Linked DNA regions of Alligator mississippiensis. The protein of the gene in region 4 purifies or fractionates together with the protein of the main gene of each other region. This does not show direct contact. Links are inferred from orthologs where the notes say so. Each region holds a gene or a part of one and is shown on either strand. Other genes may lie near its edges. The genes, in order: MED9, POLR2K, MED12L and MED19.

Region 1 (7,471 bases), on a different chromosome or scaffold from region 4:
GACCCTTAATTTGATTCCTTCTCCCATGCCCGTCTCCGGTCCTTTGCCACGTGATGGCAAACAGCGTCCCCTGCTCTGCGAGAGCCAGCCTGGAGCACCCTTGTCCCACAATGTCCAGACTGCGAGCAAGTAAGGCTCTGCCCTGTGCTGCCTTCAGACTGTAAAGTCTTTGGGGCTGGGACTCTCTACCTGTGCGACGTGTCTGAGGCCAAGCTGCCCGTCAGCACGAAACCAAGAGGGCGCGACTCTTTTACACACCAGCCCCCTACCTGGCCATATTAGGGCTCCTTTGTGCTGCAGGAAGGGTGGGAAGAAGCGATCACGTAAGGGAAGATCAGGCCCATGATGTATTGCATGGGGAGTACACAGGTCCCCGCTGACACCGGTGTAAAGCACCTGAGTGGGGCTGCGTTCGAGAGCTGGCAATGCTGCCCTCGGTACTCCCTGCTCTGTGTCTACATGCACAACTTCTGTGCCAGGGCTGCCCAGCCAGGCGTGAACACCCACAGGCTGCACTGCAAGGAGGATGCCAGGGCCAGCCACCATCCAAGAGTAACAAGGACCCTCGGGGCCAAAGCCTGCATCTATACACCGCTCTGGAGTCCGAGAGAAGGGAGCCCGACCCCAGCCATGACCCCGTCCTCGTCCGTCTGTACCAGCCCGGGCCCCAGGGACGCATTCCTGAGCTGGGACTGTCTGTGCTTTCTGGAGCCTGCTCTCCACTGGAACAATTGCAGGCAACGTAAATGCAAAGGAACGCGGCCGAGGACAACGGGTGCAGTGATCAGGCCTGGTTCAGCCAGAGAACAGGCCTGACCTAAGCACCCAATTGTGATGAAACCAGGCCTGTTTCTCGGCATGAGTCAGGTGGGGGATCTGCCAGCTTGCCACATGCTTTCCCTGAAAATCTGGACCGGGACCCGATGAGATCAAGGTTTGCCCCATTAGCCATCTCTTCTGGCTAATGGGGCAAAAAGACCTGGGGAAATGAATGCATCAGGAATATACCTCGCTCACCTTTCCAGGAATGAGTCCACCTCCCATTCGGCCCTGCAATTTCCTTGTTCTACGTCACCTGTGAGATGGGACAATGGCCCCTTCACAGAGCCACGGAGAATGGCCTGGACGGCCCCCCTCGACGAACACAGGTCAGCCAGGGAGCCTCCAGATACGGCTTCACGGGCCGTGTACCAGCCAAGCTGTGAGCTGAGGCTTGGGGCACAGACCCTGGAGCCTGGAGCCATCGGGACACGCGGATGGACTGGATCAGATCGCCTCTGCGGGCAGCCAAGTCCTCCAGGTCCCCGTGCAAGGGAGGGTAGGCCAGGAGGGAGAGCAAGGGAAATCCTGAGTGATCTCCAGGCAGGGATATTAAGGAGATCACTAGTGATCTCTCTGCACCTTGGAGGGTGAAGGGATCCCTTGGAACCACTTCATTTATATACCACCATCGCAGGGAACGGCTCAGGAGGGCTTACACCAACAGACAAGGCAGCTTATGAAAACATTCAGACAAGTAACAGAATAAGCTGTATTTGCCCCAAGATTCAACCCTTTCCTGCTAACAGCTGCCCCATTAAAAATGGTCCCGCATCATTTCCACCAGATGCCCCGGCTCGGGCTCGGGCTTGGGCAGGCCCGGAGGGGAGGAGATGCAGAGCTCAGCCCCCACGGTGCCAGGAGGTTGCTCTTGGCTGACCTCGGAGACCACGCTGGGGTGCAAGGGAGACCGCGGCCCCTTTGCTACGTCGGGCCCAGGCTGTGTTGGTCCAAACCAGCATCTTGAATCGTGCCTGGAAAGCTACTGGGAGCCAGTGCTGGCCCTGGAGGACTGGAGGTCGTAGCAGGCCACCCCACTGGACGGCCACAGAGGCCAGCCCGCTCTCCAGGCCACGAAGGCTGGGATATCAAGGGGGGCCGAGCTGTCTCTTCACCGGAGGGAGGTGCCCAGCCGAGCCAGGGCTGTGACCTGGGGTGGCACGGTGCCCCCTGCCCGCCCCGAACACATCCTGCTGGAAAGGGGCACTGGGGTGATCCCCGGGGTCACTCTAGGGGAGGGATGAGGACTGGAGCCCCAGTGCACAGCGGAAGGGGTGCACAGCTGGAAGGGTGCACAGCTGGAAGGGTGCCCTGGTGCACAGCGGGAGGGGTGCACAGCTGGAAGGGTGCCCTGGTGCACAGTGGGAGGGGTGCACAGCGGGAGGGGTGCACAGCTGGAAGGGTGCCCTGGTGCACAGCGGGAGGGGTGCACAGCTGGAAGGGTGCCCTGGTGCACAGCGGGAGGGGTGCACAGCGGGAGGGGTGCACAGCTGGAAGGGTGCCCTGGTGCACAGCGGGAGGGGTGCACAGCGGGAGGGGTGCACAGCTGGAAGGGTGCCCTGGTGCACAGCGGGAGGGGTGCACAGCTGGAAGGGTGCCCTGGTGCACAGCGGGAGGGGTGCACAGCGGGAGGGGTGCACAGCTGGAAGGGTGCCCTGGTGCACAGCGGGAGGGGTGCACAGCTGGAAGGATGCCCTGGTGCACAGCGGGAGGGGTGCACAGCGGGAGGGGTGCACAGCTGGAAGGGTGCCCTGGTGCACAGCGGGAGGGGTGCACAGCGGGAGGGGTGCACAGCTGGAAGGGTGCCCTGGTGCACAGCGGGAGGGGTGCACAGCGGGAGGGGTGCACAGCGGGAGGGGTGCACAGCTGGAAGGGTGCCCTGGTGCACAGCGGGAGGGGTGCACAGCTGGCCCGGGTGCCCCAATGCAGAGCGGGAGGGGTGCACATCTGGCGGGGGAGCCCCCCCCCGTGCCCGGCGGGAGGGCGATTACCACTTGATGACGCCGTGCACGAGCGGCAGGAAGGAGAACTCCTCGCGGCCCGGGGGCGGCGGCGGCGCCGGGGCCGGGAGCGGCAGCGCGGGCTTCTGCTCAGGCGGGGGCTCGGCGGGCGGCGGCGCCGGGGCCGGGGGCTCCTCCGCGGGCCGCGCGGCCGCCCCGCTCGCCATGGCGGCCCCCCCTCCCCGCCCCGCGCGGCGCCGCCAATGCACGTGTGTGCGCCGGCCCCGCTATTGCGCGTCAGCCGGGGGCGGGCGCAGCTCTGCGCGGCACGGCACTGCACTACACTGCACTGCAGGGCCTCGGCGCGCCTTGCTGCAAATGCGTCCTCGCCCTGCAGAGCCCCCAGGGCTTGGCGCAGCCGTGCAGTGCACGCATCTTTGCATCGCGGGGGCGCCGTGCAGCGCACTGCATTGCAGAGCCCCCCCCTCCCCCCGGGCTCGGTGCAGCCGCGCGGGCAGCTCTGCAGGAGGCGCCCAGCCAAGCTGCTGCGGGAGCGGGGGCCTGGGCCTGGGAATGGGGGCTGCACCCCAGCAGTGCCCATCCATGTCTGGGCAGGGAGCGGGGCTTTGTCGGACCCCTGAGCTCGTGTGAGCCCAGTGCTCCGCCAGAGCAGCTCTCTGGCTCTCAACTGGGGGTGCGCCATCCTTGCAGGGGGGTTGCGCAACGTCCACAGAAGCTTTACTCATTTTTCTAGGGCCCCAGGGCTGTGCTGTTCAGTTCAAGAGTCAAGCAAAAACATGTCACTTCACTGGAATGGGTTTAAAACGATGGGCACAGCTGTGAAATAGGAGCTCCCTGCCCAGGAACAGCTAACAAGCTGCAGGATTGCAGAACAAAGGCTGCCTTGATTGGCTGGACATCAAAATCATCCAAAGAAGAGAGGGTCAAATGAAGAGTTTAGCAGGGATCTGGTAGATGAGAGCGAGCCTGAAGTCGAGCGACTCCCGCAGCCCAGACTGCCACAGCCAGGGAGATGGTTTTAAACTTTGGGTGGGAGAGGCATCGACAACCTGCAAGTGGTTCACAAGATAAACCCAGACATTTCAAATAGGAATCCCAAGTGCCAGAAATAGTCTGAGTTCTTTGCAACAGAAGAATTGCTCTGTTATTTTTCCAGAGACAAAAAACCAAGTGAAAGCTGAGAGCTGGCATTTTCCAAGAGGCACCTTGAGTCCACCGAGGTGGCTTAAGGGCTTTGCGGGATGGGATGGGACGGGGCGGGGCGGCCTCGAGACCCGGATGTTCTCAGGTGTTTAGGCACTCATCCAGCAAGAGTTTGGCCATGCTAGGCTCCTTTCACCAACACAATCCCAGTGCTCCTTTGCATTTTTTAAATCAAGCGGCTAAACTAAGGGACTTTTGATGCTGGCTGGAAAACAAACGATGGCTATATCTGTTTCCTTGCATTTGAGAAGTAGTTTGGTGACCTCATTTCGGGGTATTTCAAAGGGCCACGCTGAATTTCAGAGGGTGGCATCTGGGCGTGTTGTCCTGGGTACTGCAGTGCTTTGAATCTAGTGCTTGTTTTCCTGAGCCCTGTAGCTAATGGCAAAGAAGCTATATTAAGAAAGTTGATAGCTCAGTTTTGATAAACGCATAGTCAGACAATCAATGGAGCATTTGATGATGTGCACATACACAACCCCCCAATTTAATTAAGGAGCACAGGGCTTTTGATCTATTTGTGCAGTTTGAATTACCCTCTGCGCTTTCTCCTTTAGGACTCATCTCAGAAACCCTGTGCAGACGTGGAGGTCTCCGTGCTGTGGGGTCTCCCTGTGCCGAGCTCAGAGAGATGCAGCCGTTTGGTCTCACTGGCTGGTCTTGGTCTTGAGTCCCACTGACTTCCCTACAGGGGGGTAACACCAGCTACTCCATAGGTCTCAGCTCAGACCTCTGTAAGGCCTTGACATTCACTCCTGTCCCTACTGCGGTTGACTTGTGCCCTCTGGGCCCCTTCCTGGATGAACCATCAGCTGGCAGAAGTTTTGTCTGGCTACAATGTGCCATGAACGGTGGGGCTGGATGTCTCAGGGGAAAGATCGGATATGGGACATGGACCACAAAGCATCTCCAGGGCTAGGCTTCACTGAGCAGCCAGTTCGATGGGAGGTTGAAAGGACCATAGGGGCTAAACTGCTATTTTAGCTGCCTTCAGTGGTCTCTCCAGCTCCGGGTCGGACAGCAGGTCAGCAGCTCACACAACCTGCCTAAGCACAAGACAGTTTGGGGACTAAACTTGGCATGTGGGCTCCTGCATCCCTCCGCCCAGAGCTTTGCAGATGCTTTTGGTTCATCAACAAAAAAAACGGGAGCTAGCAACAATACTAGCAAAGGGCTTGGCTAGCAAAGTTATAACAGCTCATAGCAGCTCATGCGTCTCAAATTTAGTTAGTCCTAAGATGTATTTCTACCCTGCCTTCAGCCCAGGCAAGAGATTGCAGCGGGGTGGATTGCAGAAGGTCACTGCACCCTGGTTGTGCTAATGGCATTGACATGCAGTTGACGATGCCACGGTTTTTCTCCATATAACTTTGTTTGCCATCCTCCAAGTCCCGAGACTTTAAAATGTCTCAAAGCTGCCTGATCCTTCACATCTTATAACCATCAAACAAACTAATTTCTCTGCCAAAGGGTTAGTTAACCTATTTTCCCCAAGACCAGCTGACCAAATAATCCTTATCTTTAGCCTCCTCCATGATTACCCCTTTTATTTCCTTTTACATTATTAATATGACTTCTCTTTCTGTCGTGCCATTATAAATTGCTCCCCCTCGCCTCCAAATGAGACCTAGTTTCAGAGCTTGCTTTGTCTTTGGATTTGCCATTAGTCTTTTAATTCATCATCAGTCAATTCCTTTTGTGGCTTGCCCCACTTTCGTTGCCTACCCTCGCTGGCTTGCTTTGGCTGCCCACATCAATGCCATGATGACTTTTATTATATGCCCATCATCATGTTGAACTTTATCTTGTCTCGCTGCCCCAGAATCATCCTGTTTGTTATCTTATTGGGCTATGTTTAGAGATCATTCATCTGTGGTGCTGGCCTAAGCCTAAAAAAATGCAGATATGGCATTCATTTACTCAGCGTTCGTCTTCCAGACGTTTTTCTGGATTCTGGGGCTGATCCTGCTTCCATTTAAGTCCATGATAAAACTCTTGCTGACTTTGAATGGAACAGGCTTGGGTTTCTGGAGACTGTTACTCACAGTTCGTAATGCCCCTACAGCAGGCATTTTCATGTGGTTTCTGATATCCCCAGCTTCTGATGGGACTAGAAATACCCGTCTTACCCACTATCCTGATGGTATTTTGGTATTTCTGTCCCCAGTTTCCCTAAGGGGCAGCCATGAAAAGGCAGGGATAATAAAGAAGTAAAAGTTCACAGAGCTTTTAAAGTCTTACAGTCCCCTGCGGGAGTTGGACCCTTCCTATCTCATGCTTCTTCATTTTGCAAGTCTGTGATGTTTTCCCCCTTGTATGTCTACATGGCACCTGGATCAGACTAGAAAGAGAGCTTCTAAACCAGGAGAGGGAAATGGGTCCAGAGACCAGGTTGTCAAAGGGAACTGAGTAATCCATCACTGAAGTCATTTCCCAAGAATTCAGCGGGTTCATGTACCCGGTACTTCCCAGTTCACAGTGATAAACCAGGCTGACAACTCACTTTATAGACCTGGAAGCTCAGTCCTTCAGAGAGCTGCTTTTGGATGGCCGGCTGCAAGAATGCATGGGGGAGGGGGGAGTAGAGTATCCCCAGCCCCCCAGGGTTTGGTCTCAGGAGAACACGAGAAGCTCCGCGCTCTTTCAGAGGTCTTTCATAGCCAGGATCATAAAGAAATAACTTTGGTTTAATGTTTAACAGGCATGAAAACAGCAGGGGCCGGCCAGCCAGAGCCTTCCAAAACACTACAGCAGCTCTCCTTGTCAAATTGAAATCCTTCCAATGAGAACATGTTACACGAGCATCCACGAACTCTTGTACTTCAATGCAAATCCCTTCTGCCACGTGTGCCATAGGTGCTATGCTGGGGACTCAGAGCATGCTAGGCACACAAGCAATTTCTGCCCATGGGTGAGTACAGAGCCAGTCATCCAAGACACCCATGCTGTGGCATGGAGGACACATGTCGCATTCAGGGACCCCTGGAGCATGCATGTTAAGGACTGTGCAGCCCACAGGTGTGCTGGGAACTGCATAGCAGGTTTTTCTCCAAGGAGGCAGCGGGACAGGGATGGCTGAGCCATGCAGGGAGGAGGTGGTGTGACCCAGACGACTTTGTAATGCACACTGAGAAACAACCACGGGCTGCCACGGGTGTGAGAGCAAAGTAGTGCAGGTTGCTCCACAGTGCCCCACAGCTGCAGAGGCCAGGCCCCGGGGCAGTGCTTTAAATGAGATCAGATCTGAGGACAAACCTCCTGACTGCAAGATCAGCCAGACAATGGGACAAGCTGCCTGGGGACGCTTTGGCATCTCCTTCACTGGAGGCTCTTAAGAGGATACTAGGTTGGCACCTGTCTGTTGGGGTTAGGAACAGAACAAGGTTAGGAAATCCCTTGCATCTTCACAGGGAGTTGGCCCTGCAGGTTCCTTCCAACCTGGGTTTCTGTAGGGAAAGATAAAGAAGAGAGGGGGCTTCTGCAGTGGG
Region 2 (7,735 bases), on a different chromosome or scaffold from region 4:
GGGTTCTGTACACATCATTTGTAGTAAAAGTATATTTGGGCCTGAGAATGAGAGAGCAATTGGTATTTTTTCACCATAGTTTAAATGGCTGCAGATATGGTAAACATTTACGTTGTTGAAAAATGAACTTTTTTATAACAAAACCAATCGTGGCACTGAAAACACATAATTATTTCTTTGTATCTTTGTTTTAATGAATATAGGAGCATATAGTAAGACCTACAAGAAAAAAGTATTTACCTTAAGCTCTATCAGGCCTAGAATATACACTCTTGAACTTCTGAAAATAAAAAAAAGTTCAGGCAAAGGAGACCACTCCTCTCTGGGTTAAAATTCTCTGGTCATGTGACAATGTCTGAGTCATCTGATTGTTTTCCTCAGGATATGTAGATTAGTTCAGGTAGTTAAATATGTAGCAGAATTGCTGCTTTGGTGTTTGTTTGTTTTTTAATTAAATACTTACAAAAAAATTGTGCAAGTTTACGTTCAATAAAGGCTTTTCTCTTCTCTTTCCAAAATGAATAATGTTAGTGGCCCAGTGTTCACTGCTTTCTTGATCTCTCTCTGTGTTTTATCTTCAGTGGGCCCCATGCTGTTAGGAATAACAATACAAAGACTGCTGGTACTGGCATGCTTGCCCCATTGCTGGGGACTGGTTTGGCCCCTGTAGCAGGCAAACTGAGTTATGCTCAGACTCTTAGCATAACTTTAGGCCTTTCTAGAACTAATTAATTAAATTACAGAGTGCTTACAGAGTGACTGGGAAAAGTGAGTGCTGTGATTGGTACGGTGGGCTAACCAGGTACAGTTTCCCTATAAGGAATGTGCTTGGCACAGTGCCAGTGGAATGATTGGCGCACACACCCAGCAGAGGATCTTAAGTCAGTACCCCCGAAGGTTGCTGTTGTAATGTCTAAAGAAACTGCTTACCAAGTCGTATTAGAGGGAGGAAACTTGTAATAAATAATTACACCTATGACTTAGTGGGGCTAACAGAGACCTGGTGGGATTCATCCCATGACTGGGCGGTACATATTGAGGGCTATAGATTGTACAGAAAGGACAGGTCGGGGAAGAAAGGGGGGGGGGGTTGCACTTTATGTCAGTGAGCAATATACATCAACCCTCATCAAGACAGAATCTGAGGTTGAGGAAGTAGAAGGATTGTGGGTTAGGCTACATGGGGGGCAGGGAGAAAGGGATTTGGTGGTAGGGGTCTGCTACAGACCCCCACACCAAGGGGAAGAAATAGATGCGGGGCTCCTGAGGCAACTCTCAGAGACCATAAAAGCTAAAGAGGCAGTAGTCATGGGGGACCTAAACTACCCGGACATCTAATGGGAGACGCAGACAGCAAGGTCCCATCGCTCACGCAGGTTTCTAACCTGTATACAGGACCTCCACCTGACACAGGAGGTGCATGGTCCCACTAGGGGGAATGCCATACTGGATCTGGTATTGGCAACAGGGGATGACATGATAGGGGACCTCCAGATCGGTAGCCATTTGGGAGACAGTGATCACCTAATAATAGAATTCAACATAAGACGGCGAGTGGGTAAGGTAACTAGTAGGGTGAAAGTGCTAGACTTTAGGAAAGCTGATCTCAATGCACTCAGGCAATTAGTCAAGGAAGCACTGCAGAGTAGGAGTTTTGAAGTGATGGGAGCCCAAGAAGGGTGGCTGTGCCTTAAGGAAACGATCCTTCAGGCACAAAGCAAGACGATCCCCGAGCAAGGCAAAAGAGGGAAAGGGGCCAGGAGGCTTCCCTGGCTGACCACAGAAATCCAGGGCAGCCTAAGGGCCAAAAGGGGAGCACATAAAAAGTGGAAACAGGGTGAGATCACTAAAGATGAATATACCTCCTCTGCTCGTGCTTGTAGGGAGGCAGTTAGGCGGGCCAAAGCTACCATGGAGCTGAGGATGGCAACCCAAGTAAAAGACAACAAGAAATTGTTTTATAGATATATTGGGAGTAAAAGGAAGGCCCAGGGAGGAATAGGACCCCTGCTAAATGGGCAGAAACAATTGGTGATGGACAGGGGGGACAAGGCTGAACTCCTCAACGAGTTCTTTGCCTCAGTGTTCCTAAGTGAGGGGCACAACAAGTCTCTCACTGGGGTTGTAGAGAGGCAGCAGCAAGGCGCCAGACTTCCATACGTAGATCCTGAGGTGGTGCAGAGTCATTTGGAAGAACTGGATGCCTTTAAATCGGCAGGCCCGGATGGGCTCCATCCGAGGGTGCTGAAGGCACTGGCCGACATCATTGCAGAGCCACTGGCAGGAATATTCGAACGTTCATGGCGCACGGGCCAAGTCCCAGAGGACTGGAAAAGGGCTAATGTGGTCCCCATTTTCAAAAAGGGGAGGAAGGAGGACCCGGGCAACTATAGGCCAGTCAGTCTCACCTCCATCCTTGGTAAAGTCTTTGAAAAAATTATCAAGGCTCACATTTGTGAGAGCCCGGCAGGGCAAATTATGCTGAGGGGAAACCAGCACGGGTTTGTGGCGGGCAGATCGTGCCTGACCAATCTAGTCTCTTTCTATGACCAGGTTACGAAACGCCTGGACACAGGAGGAGGGGTGGATGTCGTATACTTAGACTTCAGGAAGGCCTTCGATACGGTATCCCACCCCATACTGGTGAACAAGTATTCACCAAGGCGCCCCAGGGGGTTACAAGAAACAATGGCCACAAGCTAGCAGAGAGCAGATTTAGATTGGACATTAGGAAGAACTTCTTCACAGTTCGAGTGGCCAAGGTCTGGAACGGGCTCCCAAGGGAGGTGGTGCTCTCCCCTACCCTGGGGGTCTTCAAGAGGAGGTTAGATGAGTATCTAGCTGGGGTCATCTAGACCCAGCACTCTTTCCTGCTTATGCAGGGGGTCGGACTCGATGATCTACTGAGGTCCCTTCCGACCCTAACATCTATGAATCTATGAATAGAGATTGCTATTGAAGTTCACTAGACACCACGTCGGATGAGCTGCTGCGTTAATCCTTGGAGGGCTCTGACAAAAAGAATCCTAGGGTTATCATCCCCCAAGACTGGTTCCTAACCTTTTTAGAGTCAAGGCACCCTTTCTTAGACTCAAAGCACCCCTCAGAAAATGTCAGCTCTTAGTTTTCACTGTTTTTTCCACCAGAGGGATATAATAAGCAACTTTTCTGTTGCGGTGAATTCAGAAAGCCCACAACAGGTCAGGATGTATTTAACACTATGGATTCCTATTTGAAATCTCTGGATTTATCTTGTGAATCATATTTGCACATTTCACAGCGCTAACACACAGTGGCAGCCTTGAAAAGATCTCAAGGCAGCCAAGGCACCATTGTTGAGCATCACCAGTCTATAGCGTGGCGCTTGCAATCACACCACAGGTGCTTTCTCTATGACTTTGCTGTAAAAGGTACTTAGGTGCTCATTTGGGTTGGGGATTTATTCATACAAATTCTATGAATGCAGATTTTCCTACACGCATCGGTTCCACTGTATTCTTTTTTCCACTCAGAAACTGTATCTCGCTAAATTAATGGAGAAGCCCTGTAGAAGGGCACTTTGCATCCAAATGCTGGTCTAACATCTTTTTGAACTATACAGTTAGTCCAATAAAACGTATCACCAAAAAACTTTGTTTCTCACATATTTCCTATACCAGCAAGTCTATAACACTCCAACTCTACTACTAAATTATGGGGAATTTCTAACTACACTGCTATTTCCCCATTTCTGTGGCCTAAACCAATCCTTCTATATAAACTAGAATGCCTGTGTTAGTATGCTTATAAAATTAATGTTATTGTACTGTATAGGACCCAGGAAAGAGAACTGAGATACTCAACTCCTTAGCTCAATTTTTTCCTTTTGAACAATTAAAGGTTCAGTCTTGGTTAAATGCACAGTGATCTTTGCTTTTAATATTGAAAGCTTGGTAAATCCTCTAGTGCAGGGATTCCCAGACTGTGGTATGTATGTGTAGCCTGGGGTAGGGGGGATATGGAGAAATTGTGTAATGGCAGATTTAATTTTCATTATAATTGGCATTTAAGGGGTTAAAATATAAAACATGCTGGTACAGCTATGCAGGCAGCTGGTAAATCTGGAAGCGGGGGCACAATAAGAAAAAGTTTGCAACCCCCCCACTGTAGTAGGAACACTACTATAACAATGGCATGGGCACAACTGGTACCAAATAATGAACCCCCACAGTAGTAATGGCTTATTTACAGCTTACTTCAAGGCAGTACAATAAAATGAACAATACAGTTGATATATAACAATAACATGTATATAATTTGCTAAAAACATACAGTGAAAGTAATAATTCTACCAGTTTACTGCAGAACCCCATACACCAAAAAAGCTCAGGAGCCAGCCCCTCCATCAGTGATCTGTGGGCTGGAAAGGACCTCAAGAGTCTTCTAGTTACTCTCTTCCCCCGCCCCCAAATAACTTGCACTTGTTGATTCGCATTAAATAACACGCGTGGGGGCTCTTTCTGGTTGCATTCTGGACCTTTAGGGCGCTCTTGTTTCCTGCGCCAAGCCTTTCTCCACACCCCGGAGTACTACAACCTGACTTTAAAATCGAATTGAAGGAAGGAAGCCGAGGCTCTCAGAAGCGGGGCCGCAGAAAGGCCTGGCTGTCACGAGCCGCGGGACCCGGGCGGGCTGCTCGGAGAAGCAGACAGCGGGGCGCCGGAGCCCTCCGCAAGCACGCGGCCGCGCGGGGACCGGGCAGGCGCGGCGGTGGCTCCTCCCCGGCAGCGGCCGGAAGCTGCCGTGAGGCCTCATTCATCGCTGTCAGGACGGGGCAGCGGCGGAGGTAGGGCATGGGCTGTCTCCCCTCCTTGGCGGCAGGCGCCTGCTGCGCTCTGGCCCTTCCGCGTCCCCGCTGCAGCGGTGGCGCCGCCCGAGGCCTCCCGCCTCCCCCTCCCCGCGCGTGGGGCTGCCAGGGCAGGACTGGCTCGTCCCTGCCCCGCGCCGCCGCGTGCTCAGAGGCACCGCCGGGAAGGCCCAGGGGGTGGGGAAGGGGGCGCCTTTGAGGAGGATGTGACCGAAGGTTGGTCTTGGAGATGGCGCCTGCCCCCGGCCAGCGGAGGGTTGTTCGGGGGAGGGGGCCCTGTTGGCACCTTGTTGTCCTGTAACGTCCTGGGTTTTTGGTCTATTGGCGGCCCTTCCCAGCTGCTCTGTACTCTTACTCCAGCTCTGTGTGTAGTTAAATGTTCCCTGGGGTGGGAGGGTCAACCTTTTGGCAGGCCTGCCATGCAGCCTCCCCAGGTTGCCACTCTGATCCCCCTCCTCTGCTCTGCTTTCTGTTCCAGGCTATGCTCCCTTGTTCTGCTGCCCTGCTTCCTTCCCTCTGCTCACTGCATGAGTTGTTGCTTTGCTTTCTGCTCCCTGCCCTATCTGCTGTGCCTGGCACACAGAGGCTGCCCATGCCACTTGTGGCACCTGTGCCACGGGTTGGCCACCCCTGCTTTAGAGAGTGGTGTTTCTGTGTTCACGTATCTTCTGTATGCTAGGGTATCGCTGCCTGCATTCCCTCAGAGTATCGGGGTGTCAGAGTGGTAGACTGGAAACGTGGATCCCCACACTGGTGATGATGCATGATTGTATTGTGAGAAAAGCTTCAGTATAGCTATAGGTTAGATTGCAGTGGCAAAACCTGGCCTACAACAATATTGCCTGTGGTTTGTGACCTGCTTGTTTGACCCAGGTATGTTATGTTTGCAGGTGTTTTGCTTTTTAGCAATATTTGTATAGGTGCATTGTGGAAAGGGAGAAGAGCTTTTGCCTTGTGCTTCAGCAGGGAGTAAGCATCCGGAGGAGAGGTACACAGAGCAGCATTATCGCTGCGAGATGCCTAAGGTTGTCCTGCTCCGTGATAGACAAAAACCCAACCAAACAGCAATTTGAGCCAGTTACAAAAAAATAGCTTCACGCTAGCCTGGATTTCATACAGGATTGGAAAACTGGCAGCAAACCATGTTCTGGTTTCTAATTGGGTAGAAATGGTGATAGACACGTTTGGCTCCCATGATGCATGTGTGCATGATCTGAAATGTGGAGTAGGAAGGGTCTAGATTCCCTGTACAGAAAATAAGGTTATGCTGTCTGTTTTCTCCCCTTTTTTTTTTTTTTTGATAAACCAGGTTTCTTACATTTGGCTTTTTAGTGACAGAGGATGGATTCTCAAAAGGATGTTCAGCCACCAAAGCAGCAGCCAATGATTTATATCTGTGGAGGTAAGAGTGAAAACAAATGTTTCAGTAATATCTGATGCACATAAGAACAGTCCCTTACTGGTTGAAAAAAGTTAACATTCTCTGAATAGTTTTCTATTTACCAGGATCATTTTGGGAAGTGGTGGTGCATCCCCCAGAGGGAACATGCATTTCCCCAAGGGCAAACAGCAGTGGCAGGGGAACACCTGCAAGTGTGGGGCGTGTGGTGTCTGTGGCACTGCATACTGTACAGCTGCACTCGTCTGGATGCATCTGTTTAGTTCTCTTGATGCAAGGCACAAGATTGCACATTTTGGTCTTCTTGTTAAGTGTTTATAATAATCTGTTTATAGGGAATAGGTGTTGGCATAAAAGATGGCTTTATAAGGATTGCTGTAAGGCTAAAGATTAATTGAAGCCTTGAAGAAATACATGTCCAAAAAGAATAAATTTAGTTTCCAACAGATGAAGAAGATTAAAATAATTTATTATTAAATTATTATTATTACATTTATTATTAAAAACCCTAATAGAAAGAAGAAATAATATCAAATGAGGCTATGGGAGGACTTTGTAACTGCAGGGAATAATAATAATAATAGCCACTTTTTTGGAAAGTTATAGCCAAGGGGTTATAACTATAACAATTGAGTTTAATTCCTGATGCTTATCTTTCTGAACGTATGTGAACATCACTTGTATTAAAAAAAATAAGTTCAACAATTTAACTTGCAGTTGATGAGGAAAGTGATGGTTACCTGGTGAATACAAGCAGATTATTAACTGGACTCTGAGGCTGCTTGCAGGCATTAAAGAAATACAAAAAAAATCAATGTTTTACTTTGAACTCCTCATGTCCCTACACCAAGCTCGGTGCATGTCCAGAAGAGGTAACGCGTTAGTTGGACCTAGCTCGCCCAGTGTCTTTATAGATTGGGTGCTTTAGTGGGGGGGGTTTGGCACTGTTGTCTAATAGCTGATTGAATGTTAGATAAAAACGCCAGAAAGACCTGATGAAGCACCCAGTCTATATCCATGCTGCAGAGCTGGGATGAAGTAATGTGCTGCTACTTCTGCATGCTTTGTTTTGTTTTTGTCTTTTTTTAAAACATCTGCAAGCAGCCTGAATGCCAAGTAAAATTATAGTAATGAGTAATGGAAAGGGCCCCAGTCTTAATCCCCCCCCCCCAGAAATTGCCAAGGAATTCTGACAAAAAACGTAATAGTATTATTTTAGGAAGTATTGGAATGAAACTATAATAGTTCTAACTTTTAAAAATGGTGATGAGAGAGATCCTATAGTATATCATCCTGTTAATTTTATGTATATTCCAGCAAAAATATTTAGACAGTGTTATTTTTTCACCCCACCTACAGAGGTGGGGCAGGGGCAGGAAGCAGAAGCTAGAGAAGTAATGGGAGACTGGAGATCCCACCCCAGCAGCAGCTGGAGTGTTGGGTTGTGGGGGAAGTGTCCAGGTTGGAGTCTGCAGGCAGCCAGGTGGGCA
Region 3 (7,175 bases), on a different chromosome or scaffold from region 4:
ACAGGTAGGTAAACAACACGCATGGCCTACAGGGTGGAGGGAACAAGAATGATAAGAAATTCAGGGATGCTCACAGGGTTGGTGATAAGCCAGCTTCTATTTCTCTCATTAGTCCAACCCCATCCAAAAACAGCAGTGACCTAAGGGTACCACCTGATGGCCATTTAGGTGACCCATGTGAATTAGCAGGTGGTCCAAGTCTAATTCAGAATGGACATGTGCATGTCTTTGAATCACCATCAAGATTAACGTTAATTGACATGCCTGCTGCCACTCCTACCCAAGGAAGTGCACACGGTGTGCCAGGATAGTCAAGCAATATGGAGAAACTTACAGAGTAGGTGATGCTTTCATTGCTGCTGCTCAAGCTACATCCCCAGGTTATACCATCAACTTTCATAAGCATTTAATTTCACCAAAAAAATAATGTGGGTGAAGAGTGGGAATTGGGAGTGCTAGAGAAACAATACCTCTGTCCACTAAGACCAGAAATAGTAGGAAATGAAAATATATTGCAGCGTGCTGTCATGACGAACCAGGGTGCTGTGAGCCTGATCCAAATTGAAAACAGAGCCAACGGAAAAGTGAAATATGCTCTTTGACTTATTTCAACTTTAGTTTGATCTACACAAAGTGATTTACAAAACCCAGGACACAAAGGGCAGACTTTTATCCAGCCTTCAACTGCCAGAAGAATCGCCTTGAAGGAGAAGTTCTGAACATAAAAGAAATAAGGGTGAGACAGAAAAGTCTGACAATCAATTACTCTGGCTGTCAATATTTCTGCATCCTATATTTTTTTCCTTTTCCCAGAGAAGCATCAACATATTGCCAATCCTGAATTACTCTCTTGGCCCTAAATATAGATATTAACCATAATTCTACATGCATTCATTATGTCACTCAAGAAAAGAGAAACATAGTGACCATAATCAAATATTAGGATAATATTTCAAAGCAAAAAGTGCAAAGCCCCTTCCCCATTGATTAGCTAAAATTTGGAAAAATATTTTTTTCAAAATTCTGAATCCCCTGAGCAATATTTTCCTTTAGAATGAAACGTCACTCAGAGATCATTGCTTAAGAGCTACAAAAATACTTCTAAACATTAAACTCTCACATGAGATGCCCTTTGAACTAAAAATTACTTAGACTAATTTCAACAGCCTCTGCTTTCCATATGAATTACCTGCAAGTATTTGAACATACCAACAAGCACTAAGAGCAAGTTGCAGCCTTGGGGACTGCAATTGTTAATTTTAATTGTAAAACTAGAGAGCAGGTTTTGTTAAAGCTTGCTTTTAAAAGGGGAAAAACACACCCCACCAAACTACTGTAATAGCACAATATAAATCTATACACTTCCCTGAAGTTTTCACCTAAGAAAACCAAAAGAAAAAAAAAACTGCAGGCCTTAAAACTTAATCAGACTTTGTAAAACAAATGTAACTGGAAAAGTATGTACAAACTCTGATTTCCAGGAGCAAGAAGGGAGTGTTAGTTCTTGTTTTGTGAACTAACCTTGTCTCCCCCATAATTCCCATCCTGCTAACAGCAAAGCAGTCATGAGCTAATGTTTGTAGCTGCTTTTTCTAGCAAACTCCACTATATGATCACGTGAGTTATAGCGACTGTTAAAAAGTATATAAGCCTCCTGATTTTGCTCTTGGGAGGGAACACCTTCCAAGTGCTTGGGAAATCCATGTCACTTTGGGGTCCCCCCTACAGCTGCAGTTTCATTTGAATAAAAGCTTCTGCTGACCTGACCCAAAAGTAGGCTGCGTGTGTTTCCACGACAATTCCTGGTGCCGTGACTCGGATCCTGTTATTTTAGTGACCTTGCCTGATTAATGCATAATGATTATCCCTCTTTTCCCCTGTCCTTTTCAGAGTAGAGTTATGTTTTTTGGGGTTTTTTTAAATCTCTCCAAGGACAAATTACTACAATTTGGATGAGGTCACAGCAGCAAAAGGAAAGTCTCACAGGCAAAACGGTTTACAGGTGACTAGCTTTAACCCATAAGGAAAAAAAAAAACCCCTATGATTAGCTAGCAGGTGAGTTTAAAAAAAAATTAAAAAGTCCCATGACAAATTGAACAGAGGGGGAGAATTTTAACAAGCAATTATTTTGCAAATAACGACTTGTTAATTGCAGCCTAGCCTGCCCAGGGAATGCCCCAGTGACCGTACCTGCTGCTGGGACCCCAAGTGCCGGGGCCAGGTACCTCCAACCCCTCCCGGTTTGGGCTCGGCAGCTGACACTGATCCCTGCCTGCCATGCACCTCCCCTGCCTGGAGCACGACAGCCTCCATGAAGACGGAGACGCCGCTGTCAGTTTGAGCACTGCCATCTCTCCCCGTGCTCGGGCCAGGGCGGACGCGAGCAGGGGCGCAGCACAGCCGGGCAGCTGCCCCTCCTCTCCCCGGAGCAGGCAGCGGTCCCGCCGCCCGGGCTCCCAGCGGTCCTGCCCAGCCCCGAGCCCCAGGCTGGCTGCAGAAAATGCAAGTCAGGGGCGGGGGGTGCGTTTCCTCGCAAGCCGACATTTTTCAAAAGTTTAAAAGGATTCAGCTCGGGGAGCGGCGGGAGGGGAAGGGGCTGCGCGAGGCCCAGGCGGCAGCCGGCAGCACTTGCACTCGGGGCTGGCGGGCAGGCGCCTTCCCCCGGCCCCGCGGCGCGCCCACCCGCCCGCCCGGCCAGCGCCTGCCCCTGCGCGCCGGGGCCCGGCCTCACCTCCTTCTGCTTGGGGTCCTGGGGGTAGACGTCGGGCGGTCCCAGCCGGGGTCGTTTCAGAGGTCTCTGCTCATAGCTGAGAAGCCCGAAGGCGGCCATGATCTCTCATGTTAGCCGGCAAAATGAATGAGTTGGAGACGGAGCAGGCTCTGAGCACCAGGGAGCAGCACTTGGCAGACAGGCTCCCTCTCTCCGGCTGCCTCTCTCTCTCCTACGGGGGAGACAGACGCAGGTTGGAGGCTGCCGTCTCCCCGCACGCGCGCAGAGCCCCCATCCCCGCGCCGGGACAGCGCCACGGCCCCCGCAGCCTCCCGCCTCCGCCGCCCTGCGGGCTCTGCCGGGCCAGGACAAGTGCCAAGCAGGGGGAGGCTGGTCACAGCCGAGCCACTCAGCATCACGTCCTACTACTCCTACAGAAGTGCCCTGCCTTTCCCTCCAGTCCCCATAGGAGGGGTGCTGCTAAGTCGCCTGCTTGCTGCACAAACGCGGAGCAGGAGCCTTGCTCCCCTGAGAGGGGTTTCAACTCAACCGGGGTCAAATTAGTCCCGACATGGAGAGGGAAGGTATCTCCCCCGGCCAAGGATGGGGCACATGGGCTGATTGCAGCAAATTGCCTAAGCCTGGGGGTCAGGCCCAGGCAAAACTTTTTTGAAGAGATTAAAACTGTGGTGCTGGGATTTTTGAAGGACGAGAGCTCCTCCGCCCTTCGGAAGTTAAACACTTAATATCCGAAGTGCTTCTGCCTCAGCAGCTACCCCAAGGAGAGTCCTGCAGAGTAAGGCTCCTCCGACTGGGACAGGAGATGAGCGCAGCTGAGGCTTGCCAGACAAGCAGGTGGGATCTGCAGGAGCTCTAGCTGCAGCCATACAAGTGGCTGCCTCCCACTGCTTCCCAACCAAGCCAGGATCTCCAAGCACCTCCACTAGAACTAAAACTAGCAGCTCTTCAAAATGTAGGCAACTCATAGTGGCTCAGCTCCTGTGTTTGGTGGGTGCATTTAGGTGAGGTGATAAAAAGTCATAGCTAACAGCTAGGGATAATACCTAGGGGGTTTTTTTCCATCACTAGAGCTCAAAAAAACTCTGCAACTGATTTAAGCAATGCTAACTCCATTCCATAGATGGGAAAAGTGAGACACGAGGCATTGAAGCAACTAGACTCTGATAAGCATGCAGATAAATCAGGACTGGAACCCGTGTCTTGTAAGGACTCCATCCACTAAGCCACACTGACTTCCCACCTGTGCCTTTGCAGGTTCTCCTCTGCCCCTTATTTTGAGGAATGTTACTTGGCCCCAAAACTATATAATTTAGTGTGGTGTCCCTCCACTTTCACTGTGTTGTAGTCTAGTTATCTCCAAAATAATTTCAAATCTGAGATTTTGAGAGGAAAGAACCCCACACCATCTTAAATTTCTTGGATGGATGGATTTTTGCATAGTCCTATTTCAGGTCTTCGTCTTTCATATTGCATCCTATATCTGGACCATGACAGGCTACTGCATCGGCTCTTCTAGGCAGGTGTGTTTTAAAGAACTGAAGAGAGGCCAGCAGCTTTCAGTCCTCTCCTCTGGCACTGTACATTGTAGGTGCTGGAAAAAAGCCCACAGTTGTTGCATGGCAGATCTGCCTCCCTGAAGGGGAAATTAAGTGAAGGATAAAGGGGGCACAGGGCAGAAGCTCCTCAGCTGTTGTGCATGGTCCCCTTCCTTTGTTTCTGTCACATGACACTGGTAAACAACTACCACAAGACTCATTAAGTCACCTGGCCATTCATTAGTATAAGTAAAATGGTATTTTCCCTGTCTCATTCTCTGTCTTGAATCTGTAGCTCTCACTCCTACCTTCCCTCACCAGTATAGTTTTAAAGAAGTGGCACAACACATCTACACAGTTCCTTCCTCTTCCATGGTATTCTATATAAATAAAGCTCAGAAAGTATTACTAAATTGATAAACAAATTGTAGACCTAGACAGGCCAGACTTAGTTATTTTCTAGCCTTGAGGAAGATCTTGTCCATTTGATTTAGCTGGATTATTAAATCCCAAAGGTATGACTCCTGTCCAAGAGTAGTGATTCTTTTCAGCAGAATTTTTCCTTTCACTACAGCTGTAGAGTACATTGCAGTTGTTCACTTGTCAGAGAATGAAACCTTGACTCAAAATGTATTCCCACACAGAGATCATAGAGATAACAATAAAAAACGGAATTGCATCTGTTTAATTTCCCAGGACAAAGCACATTGTGGGCCAAAAATTGAAGTCCTTACTACAATAACTATGGTCAGAGTCAATGGAGTTTTGCTTGAGTGGGAACTGCAAGATTTGTACCTGTAGAAATAGCAAACAATTGTAGTTTACTGTATTAAATGCCACAATAGACAAGTGTAATTTTTTCCCTGCAATTAGTGGGGAGCCTGAGTGTGTTGAGGTGATCAGACAGGATTGGACTGTCACTTTACATGGAGTGTGAAGGAAGGTGCAGTGAACAGTTGCACTTGAGGGGCAAACTAGACGACAAACTGGGAATCAAGGGATCTCTGTTATTCCACCTCTTTTCAGGAAACCTTTCTATTTCCATGGGGCATTCAGCTAACACCTATGCCTCACAAGTGACGAGAAGGTTATGAAGCCAAAACATCTCTCAACTAGCTATCCAGTAGCATACAGGGTAGAAGAATAGGCCTGGTAACTCCCACCCTCTTCCTCATGGCTGGCATCACGTTCTGGTGAAGGCCAACAGGAATAATAAGGGAAATCTTCCTCCCATTCTTACCAGCCCTTCCATTCTTCTGCCTGAGTTGGACCTGAAACAACCAGGACGAGAGCCAGTCCCATTCTGATGATGAAAAGAACGGCCATCCAACTGGCCATGGCTCCTACACAGCCAACGCTCCCCCCACTGCTGCTGCAGCAGCAGTAGCACCCAGGGTCCCCATCCCTCCCCCAGTTTCCCTTTCCTACCCCCATCCCTTTCCTACCCTCAGGCAGCACAGTAGGATGAGCCTGGGCTGCCTGCACCACATGTCTGGTAGGGAAGAAGCTGACAATGCTGTGCACATGGCAAGGAAAAGAGCCAAGGAGCTGTGAACATCGCACATGTGGCAGAGGAAGGAGCCAGGCTGCCTGCATGGGAGGCAGGAGGATAGGATGAGGCTACTTGTGTGGCAGGAGGGAGCTACGTTGTCCACACAGTGTGCCTAGTGGGTGAGGGGAGAAGTGATTCCGTACACATGGGGGGGGGTGCCTGCATGGCAAGCAGCCCACAAAGCTGTGGCCCTCAGATCTGTGGACCATACTTTAGCCCTTGGCAGTCCAGAAGCTGGACAGCCCTGATGTAAAGGACTACAGACAGACCATGTGCAACATGGACATCTCGTGGGAGGATCGCTCAGCAAAATCTGAGCGGTCGCAGAGCTTCCTCTCGTGCGTGGATGACCTCTACCTGACTCAAGAAGTCTATGGGCCAACGAGAGGCAAAGCACTGCTCGACCTGGTACTGGCTACTGGGGATGACCTAGCTGGCGACCGAGCGATCAATGGGAAGCTGGGTGACAGCGACCACGAGCTGATCACCTTCACCATCCGCCGAAAGCTGGCAAGTCAGTCAGCAACACGCAAGTCCTTGACTTCAGGAAAGCCGACTTTGACAAGCTCAGGAGGCTTGTCAGTGAGGTCCTAAGGGACTGTGACCACAGGGAGAGGGGAGTTCAAGAAGAGTGGTTGCTCCTCAAGAGAGCGATCCTCAATGCACAAACTAAGTCTATTCCATCTCGGAGGAAAGGCAGCAAGAGGGCACAGCAGCCCCCCTGGCTCTCCAGGGACCTAGCAGACCTCCTGAGGCTAAAAAGAAAGGCCTACAAAGGATGGAGGATGGGAGTCACCTGCAAGGAGGATTATTCTGCGCTGGTCCGGTCCTGTAGGGAGCAGACCAGGAAAGCCAAGGCTGCAACTGAACTCCAGCTAGCTTTGAGCATCAAGGACAATAAAAAGTCCTTTTTCAGATATGTGGGGAGCCGGAGGAAAAGCAGGGGCAACGTTGGACCCCTGCTGAACCAGATGGGGCAACTGACAACTGACGCCCAGGAAAAAGCCAACCTATTAAATAGGTACTTTGCGTCAGTCTTTCATCAGCCCCATGGGACGCCCATGCCCACTACGGGACAGGGAAGTCCGGGTGAGGGTGATCCCCTGCCCTCCATTAATGCTGACTTCGTGAAGGAACATCTTGAGAAGCTGGATACCTTCAAGTCAGCCGGCCCTGACAATCTTCACCCCAGGGTACTCAAGGAGCTGGCGAGCATCATAGCCCAGCCTCTAGCGCGGATCTTTGAAAACTCTTGGTGCTCTGGTGTAGTGCCCGAAGACTGGAAGAAGGCCAATGTGGTGCCTATCTTCAAGAAAGGGAGGAAAGTGGATCCGGCTAACTATAGGCCCATCAGCC
Region 4 (7,461 bases):
GTCCCCAGTGCTCCACTGCAGGGTTCCCTAGCAGTCTCAGCCAGGCAGGTGTGTTGCCTGACCCTGCTGACATCTCCTAGTCCTGCAGATCAGATAACAGCAGCATGGCTCAGACCACTGTCAGACATGGCCCTCAGCCTCTTCCCAAGCAGAGATTTAATTAAAACAGGAATAAAAAGGAGAAAGCACCTGACTTAGTCAGGAGTATTTAAAAAAAAAAGGAAAAAGTTGGGCCTGGCTCTGGGTCAGGGCAGCAGGTTGTGTACCATCTCCATTTCAGTCCATGTTCCCAGCCGGCTTGTGTCTGGACAGTCTGTGCCCCCAGGCAAGGCAGCCCAAGTGCCCTCCAATAAGCCGCTTTGGGAGAAGAGTTCAGTCAGTGTTGCCTCCAGGACTGTTCTCCCAGTCACCCACATCTGCAGCAGGCATCTTCCCAGAGCCACTTTAGCACTGGGGTCGTGCTTGCCCTCACCGGAGGCTGCTGCTGCTGCTGGCTTGCGAGCTCCCCACTCCTGGGTGCTCTGGGCTGTGACGGTTCTAGGAAGAACAGACAAGACACAGACACCCTTCCCTGAGAATCCACAGTGAGACTGTACAGGTTACCAGTGGACTATGATAGCTTAGCCCTGAAGCTGGAGGAAGATTTTTTTCCTTTAAAAACAAACAGTCATAATTTCATAGTTGGTAGGGTCAGAAGGGACCCAAGCAGTCTTCTCATTAAAAACTGGGATTATAACTCCAGTTCTCCCCATGAAGTTCACTTTCATGGAAAACATTTGAGGGTTGGGGAGGGAGATGTTTAAAAATGCTGCTACAGGGCCCTATAGGAGACCATGGAAGTACAGCCCATGTTCCTATCCTCCTATAAGACCTCTGGTAACACTACAATTTCCAGGATGCACTACTGCTTCCTCACAGCAGGAGACCAGGGTGCATGGAAAATAAAGAATAAAATGGAAATATGAGGCAGCCAGAACTACCAATTCTTCTCTCCACCACTGCCCACAGCTGTATTTTCTAATTCAGTTTGTTGGGTTTTTGTGCTTCCATTTGTGCAGAGGAATGAGGAAGGGGAAGGAGCTTATTTTCAGCCAGATCCAGATGGGAAACACTGTTTCTTGCTGGAGCCTCCTCAGCCTTTAAGTCAGACCCCTACAAAGGGGCTTTATGCCAGGACGGAGACTCCCGAGCAAAACAGGTCACAGGGAAGGGGCTAGACTAACTGTCCCCAACATTTTTAGGCTCAAGGCACCCTTCCACAACTGCAAATTGAGCAACACCTCTTTCCAAAAGCCAACGTGTTTATTTTAGTGGCTTGCAAAGAAAGAGGAGCAGCTGGCAGTGAGTGTCGGGGCAGGAGCAAAAGAAGGCAGAGAAGTAGTTAGAAGAGCTCATACTCATCTCCTCTCTCCCAGTGGCACCCTGTGAAAGGTTGTCACAACATCCTGGTTGAGAATCACTAGGCTAGACAGATTTGCAGCTCTGTCCCACCCCAGCACGGCAAGCACAGCTGGGCACGGACATGTGGAGTGGAGCCAGTGCACCCCCAGCCCCTCTCTTAGTTTGCCACTCACCTTTTTTTTCTTCTTCTCTTTCTTCTTCCTCTTCCGCTCTGGATCCTCCTCCTTTTTCTTCTTCTTCTTCTTGTGGTCAGAGTCTGAAGGGGTTTCTGCAAGAAGAGCCACAGTTTGAGGTTTGACAGGCTAGTTACCTGTCCAGGCAGGGCCTGACCTTTTCAGAAGACAACTGGGGTGGATGGGCTGCTGCTTTCTCACACAGGCAGGTGGGGTTGTGAGCTGCAGCCCTTACCTGGGGGCACAGGATCCTGAGTGCGGCTTTGCTTGTGTTTGTGTTTGTTTTTCTTCTTGGGTGGCTGGATGTGCATCAGGCGGCACTGCTCTGGCAACTGAGGAGACACCAGGACCGGGTCAGCTCGGGGAGTTCCCGCTCCCACGGGGCGGGGCAAGACAAGCCCACATCGCTCTCCCAGCCCTGCTCCCCGGCCACATGCCCACCCCTGCCCAGGGTAGGGCGGCTCACCGGGCCAGCGTGCAGGCGGAAGCCCGTGAGCATGGTGCCAGTAAGGGGGGTGAAGGAGCTGCTGCAGATGGGTGGCTTCTCGATGAGGGAGCGCAGGCTGCTGTTGTCGTGGGAGCCAGGCAGGTCGATCATACCCGGCAGGTCGGGCAGGAAGTTGCTCAGCTTCTCCTTCACCTTCTTGCCACAGAACTTGTTGTAGGCGTGCTCCAGGTTGTAGTGCGTGATCAGGTTGGTGCTGCCCGTCAGCTCCGTGTTGCCTGTGGGCCGAGGGTGCCCGTCGCAGCCGAGGCGAGGCCTGACCGGCCCATGCCACCCACCACAGGCAGGCGGCGGCCGCCGCCGGGGGGAACCGGCAACAGACCCGAGTCCGTAGGAACCGCCCCCTCCCAAGGAAGGACCCCAGTGCCGCGGCGGCCTTTCATCGGGTAAGAGGCTGTTTCCCCACCCACACGCCCTCCTCCTCGGTCACTGGCTGTCAGTCACAAAAAATACAGAACGCCCGCCCTCTCCCTCACGCAAGGAGCGCCCCGCCCCGTGGACGAAACCGCCGCTAGATGCGGTGATAGGCCGGCCGGCCTGCCCAGCCAACCATCGGAGCACCCGGATTGGCTGCTGCGCCTCAGCCCGCCTGACGGCCCCGGATTGGCTACCTGCCGCGAGCCCCGCCCTCTACCTGGGAGCTCGCGCATCAGATAGAAGGGGCCACTGGAGGCCGCGGTCTTGCGAGAGTGGTCTTCTCCGCTTTGCGGCGCCGCGGCGGTGGGGGGAGGCGCGCTCCCGGGCCCTGCTGGCTTCCCCGGCCCGAAGCCCAGCGCGGCGGCCGCAGCGGGAGGCTGCGGCTCAGCTCCGCCGAAGAGCGCCGAGAAATTCTCCATCATCCCAGCCTGCCCTGCGCGGTCTCCTCCCATTGGCCTAGCGGCTTGGGGTTCTGCCCATTGGAGTGGTGGGAGGCCCCGTACCCCTCCCTGACTGGATAAAAACTGCCCAAGCTCCGCCTCGCGCCTGCTCGCTGGATGAGCCTGCGCCCTGCCCATCGCGTGGGGCGTGTCGCTGCGCTCGGCTCCACCCCCTGCTGGGGTCCTACTGGTGCTTCTCCGGCGCGTTTTGATGGCGCCACCCGTGGCCCAGCACCCGATTCGCCCCCTGACAGCGAAGTCCCGCCGCCCCGAGCCCGCGCTACCCAATAGGAGGAGGGATGGCAGGTGACTGGCGGCGGCGCTGGCCAATGCGTGGCTCAGTGCCCCGCCCCGCCCCCCGGCGCCCCAGCGGAGGTGAAGATGGCGGTGGTGGCGCCGCTGCTGGCGCTGTTGTGCTCCGTGCCTGGCCTGTGCCGCTGGCTGGCTCGGCCCTACTATCTGCTCTCGGCGCTGCTCTCCACCGCCTTCCTGCTGGCTCGCAAGGTGCCGCCGCTATGCCAGGGGCTGCCCACGCAGCGCGAGGACGGCAACGCCTGCGACTTCGACTGGGTGCGTGCGGGGCGCGGGCAGGCCCCGCTCAGCCCGGGCCGTGCCGTGCCGTGCCGCGCCTCGCGGCGGGGTGTCCGCCTTGCCCCGGAGCAGACCGGGGCTGCGGGCGGCTGCGTGCCACAATGGGGCAGGTGCCGGCGGGCTGAGACCTGCACGCCAGATAAGGCCGGAGCCAGGTGTGATCGCTGCCTCCAGTGGACGCCGGTGGCATGTGCTGCTGGCACCAGGTCGTGTGCGTGTCAGCCTGTGCTGGGTCCCTCCAGGCGGAGCTTGTCCCGGTTGATGCTTGCGGCTGGCCCCCTTTTCCGTGCAGGGCGGTCTGCCCAGGACCCCTGGGTTGCATTGGTTCAGCCTGATGCCCCTCCTTCCTCCTCTCCCTTCACCTGGGATGGTTCAGCCTAGGAAAGCGATTCCCAATCTGTGGTACAGGTACCACCAGTGGTATGCAGCCAACCTGTCCATGGCACCTGTTACCAGATTTATTATCATTGCTTTGTAGGACAGAAATCTGCCGGTGGTACTGAAATTTGCTGGGGGTACTTAAGGTTGTATCATTTTAAATTGGTGGCATGCAATCTGTCAGTTTGGGAACTGCTGGCCTAGATGCCTACAGTCCTGTGCTGTACTGGTTCACACCAGAACTCCCCTCCATCCTGTGCGAGTGCTCTCTGCATGTCGTATATCCTGTGCTGTGTTAGTTTGGCCCAGTACACCACCTCCGTGCCCTCCACAGGTGCCCCCAGGCCTGTGCTCTGTTGGTTCATCCCTGCATTTGCCCCCAGCCCCCTGCTGCCATGTCCCAGCCCCATGCTCACTCCACAGTCTCTTTCAGCGGGAGGTGGAGATCCTGATGTTCCTCAGTGCCATTGTGATGATGAAGAACCGCAGATCCAGTGAGTGTCTCCTGTTTCCCTCCTTGCAGCTCCTCTTCCTGGGGCAGGAGCCTCCTTGGCATGGGGCTGACTCCCTGTGCTGCCCTTGGGGTGGGCGATTTCCTCTGGATGCCTGTGGGATGGCTGGGTCTCCACTTCATGCCCCCAGGACTGGTCTGTGGAACTGCTTGGGGAAGGAGGGCGGGCAGGCCCAGAGCATGTGGTCAGAGGGCACAGGAGAAGTTGTGGAGGAATTGTGTGGGGGGGGGGGGTCAGTTTGTGGTAGGGATGTGAAAGGTTAAATGATTAATTGTTTAACCAATAAGCCCAGTGATAACTAATTGGCTTACTGGTTATTGTTTAGCACAGGGCCGGGTACAATCTGGCAGGGAAGGGAAGCTTCCACTGCCCCAGCAGGAAGGGCAGGTGAGGGGAACTAGTATCCTTAGCCCATGAGGCTAACCAGAAAAACAGCAGGTAGTCTAATAACTCAACTCGTCAATTAAGCAATTACCTCTTCCTTCACAGGGGACTTCATGTGGGTTATTCATAGATTCGTAGATGTTAGGATCGGAAGGGACCTCAGTAGATCATCGAGTCCGACCCCCTGCATAAGCAGGAAAGAGTGCTGGGTCTAGATGACCCCAGCTAGATACTCATCTAACCTCCTCTTGAAGACCCCCAGGGTAGGGGACAGCACCACCTCCCTTGGGAGCCCGTTGTCTAGCTGTGGGCACAGCTCCCAGCAGCAGTTGTGTTACAATTGTTATGTTATCGATTAACCCAGGGGCAGGCAATTATCTTGGGCGTAGGGCTGCTTGCTGAGTTTGGGCAAGCTATTGATGGCTGCATGACAGGAAGCTGGGGCAGATAAATATTAATTTTCTAAATTTTTTAGGGACCCCATGGGCCAGATAGAATGGCCTGGCAGGCCGCATTTTGCCCACCCCTGTGTTAACCATTTAACCAATATAATTAGAGAAGGTTAAATGGATAGGGTTTTTTGTTTGTTTTGTTTTAAAGGATGTTTATATCCCTAAACTATGGGGTGAGGTTTAGGGAGGTGATGGGACAATAAATATTGGGTCTGAATGGAAAGGAACTTGGCTAATGGGTGCAATACTACTGTTTCTCCTTCAAGCTTCTTGGCTTTCTGGTATCCAGGGATGAGTGCCTGGCCCTCCTGCTGACCCCTGCCTTTCTGTCTCCCCCCAGTCACCATCGAGCAGCACATAGGGAACATCTTCATGTTCAGCAAAGTGGCCAATGCAATCCTCTTCTTCCGGCTGGACATCCGCATGGGGCTGCTGTACCTCACGCTGTGCATAGGTGAGACCCAGGTCCCATTGGGGCTTCTGAAATGCCTTCTTTGAGAGAAGTCTGAACTGTGGCCTCTGGACAAAGTCCCTCTGCCTGTCAGCCCATTCCTTGGTTGTTGCTGTGGTGGCTGGTTCAGTAGGGCTGGGCTGTCCCAGGGATGCAGATGGGATGGGGAGTTAAAATGTCTGGGTCCAGCTCCCGGCCATTATGGGGCTGTCCTGCCTCTCCTCTCTGCAGGGGCAGAGAGGGCATGTGACAGCATTGCTTTAGGTTTAAGTGTCATCCGTGATCCATCTTTGGACCAAACATCATCCTCTTGATGAAGTCTTCCCGCTTTTATTCTGTCTGCATTGGAGCAGTGGCTGCCCCAGAGGGCATCCACTCCTTCCATATCAGCCCTTTGCCCCTATCAGTGGACTTGCTTGCTAATATTGTCTGAATTATAGTGGCACCAACTGGCTCCAGCCCAAGATAGTGCCTATTGCACCAGGCACTGCACATGCAGCATAACCGCTGCCAGCCTGCCCATTATGCAGAATTCAGGACGTAGGGTGGCAGCTCTTTCTGGTGCATAGCAAAGTGGCTAGGACTTGGGACCTCTTTTCTTCTGTTCCTTGCTGTGCCACTGTCCCTGCTTGGTGAGCTTGGGCACAGCTCCTCCACCATCTGTGCCTCAGTTTCCCTATCATGAAATGTGTTTTGATTCCAGTTGATGTTAAGTGCCAGGTGGAGGTGCTGCCACTTGGCTCAAAAGCAGGATGCTTTTAAACCAGCCTCACCAGGGTTGGCTGCTGCCACTTCCCCAATTCGTGCTCCAGTATGACAGGTCCAGCACCCTCCAGCTTTGAACAGTGCAAAGACTGAGCAAATTGCTCCTGGGGTGGAGGCTTGTACAGAGTTGGCCCATTCATGATGTGTATGCCATGTGTATGCCTTTCTAGTGTTTCTGATGACCTGCAAGCCCCCCCTCTACATGGGCCCTGAGTACATCAAGTATTTCAGTGACAAAACCATTGATGTGAGTATTTCCTGCTTCCCTGCCTCCCCCTGTTCTCCAAGCCATGAAGTGCGTATAGGCTGGGTTGGCTTGCAGTAGATCTGTACTGCTGTTTAGAGGGTCACCGTTATCTACCCCTACCACATAAGTTGTTCGTCTCTGTTTACATTGCTTTGTCATATACACGCCAAGCACAAAAGGAGAGACGGGTAGTGGGCAGCATGCCAGTGGAGCTCTTCTAGGAATTGCCTGTCCACCACCTGTCTCTCCTGTGCTTGGCTATGATGATAGGCAGTAAAGCTAGGAAGTAACACACAGAACATCTGGAAGCTGGGTGCTAGCAGACAAGATCCTGCAATACTGTGGTGAATGCTTTGGGGGATGGGAGCCATGCTTAGGAGAGCTTCTAGGGGTCAACAGGCCTGCTGCCAAGGATGAGTTTAAGGGTGTTTAACTGTAGGGTGCATTGGCAACACATAGGGGGTGCACACAGGTGCACAAGGACCCCCTATCTAGGCGGTGCAGCCCCTGTGAAAGGCGCTGCCAACACTGCCGGTGCCACCTGTGGGCAGTTGCTGCTTTCTCCTCCCCTCCCATCGACACTGCCAGTGGCATCTGCAGATGGTCCCTGATCGCCGCTGGCTGCCACTGATGCTGCCAGTGCTGCCTGTGGGTGGTTGCCGACCATGGTCGGCGCTTGCCCACCCCCTTGCCGCTGACAGTGCCACAGCTGCCTGCGGGAGCTCACCGCCTACTGCTACCACAC

Evidence for each region.
Region 1: the proteins of MED19 (region 4) and MED9 purify together in Homo sapiens (affinity purification with mass spectrometry; 6 studies listed by BioGRID and IntAct, counting the BioPlex papers as one, with this or other methods). This does not show direct contact. The link is inferred for Alligator mississippiensis from reciprocal best matches to the Homo sapiens genes MED19 and MED9.
Region 2: the proteins of MED19 (region 4) and POLR2K purify together in Homo sapiens (affinity purification with mass spectrometry; 3 studies listed by BioGRID and IntAct, with this or other methods). This does not show direct contact. The link is inferred for Alligator mississippiensis from reciprocal best matches to the Homo sapiens genes MED19 and POLR2K.
Region 3: the proteins of MED19 (region 4) and MED12L purify together in Homo sapiens (affinity purification with mass spectrometry; 3 studies listed by BioGRID and IntAct, counting the BioPlex papers as one, with this or other methods). This does not show direct contact. The link is inferred for Alligator mississippiensis from reciprocal best matches to the Homo sapiens genes MED19 and MED12L.

Annotation. Positions count from the first base shown.
Region 1 is NC_081836.1:54,494,337-54,501,807, reverse strand, and holds the start of MED9 (mediator of RNA polymerase II transcription subunit 9), read right to left. Parts: upstream 3,002-7,471; 5' UTR 2,987-3,001; coding exon 2,811-2,986; intron 1-2,810.
Region 2 is NC_081826.1:38,817,562-38,825,296, reverse strand, and holds the start of POLR2K (DNA-directed RNA polymerases I, II, and III subunit RPABC4), read left to right. Parts: upstream 1-4,723; 5' UTR 4,724-4,825; intron 4,826-4,961; exon of another isoform or gene 4,962-5,062; intron 5,063-6,155; 5' UTR 6,156-6,187; coding exon 6,188-6,248; intron 6,249-7,735. UniProt on the Homo sapiens protein: DNA-dependent RNA polymerase catalyzes the transcription of DNA into RNA using the four ribonucleoside triphosphates as substrates.
Region 3 is NC_081830.1:62,144,110-62,151,284, reverse strand, and holds the start of MED12L (mediator of RNA polymerase II transcription subunit 12-like protein), read right to left. Parts: upstream 3,002-7,175; 5' UTR 2,832-3,001; coding exon 2,733-2,831; intron 1-2,732. UniProt on the Homo sapiens protein: May be a component of the Mediator complex, a coactivator involved in the regulated transcription of nearly all RNA polymerase II-dependent genes.
Region 4 is NC_081825.1:172,521,261-172,528,721, reverse strand, and holds MED19 (mediator of RNA polymerase II transcription subunit 19), read right to left. Parts: upstream 3,018-7,461; 5' UTR 2,949-3,017; coding exon 2,714-2,948; intron 2,298-2,713; coding exon 2,041-2,297; intron 1,907-2,040; coding exon 1,810-1,906; intron 1,670-1,809; coding exon 1,575-1,669; intron 538-1,574; coding exon 469-537; 3' UTR 139-468; downstream 1-138. Other genes in the region: TMX2 (thioredoxin-related transmembrane protein 2), read left to right, coding at 3,318-3,506, 4,339-4,399, 5,594-5,707, 6,640-6,716. UniProt on the Homo sapiens protein: Component of the Mediator complex, a coactivator involved in the regulated transcription of nearly all RNA polymerase II-dependent genes.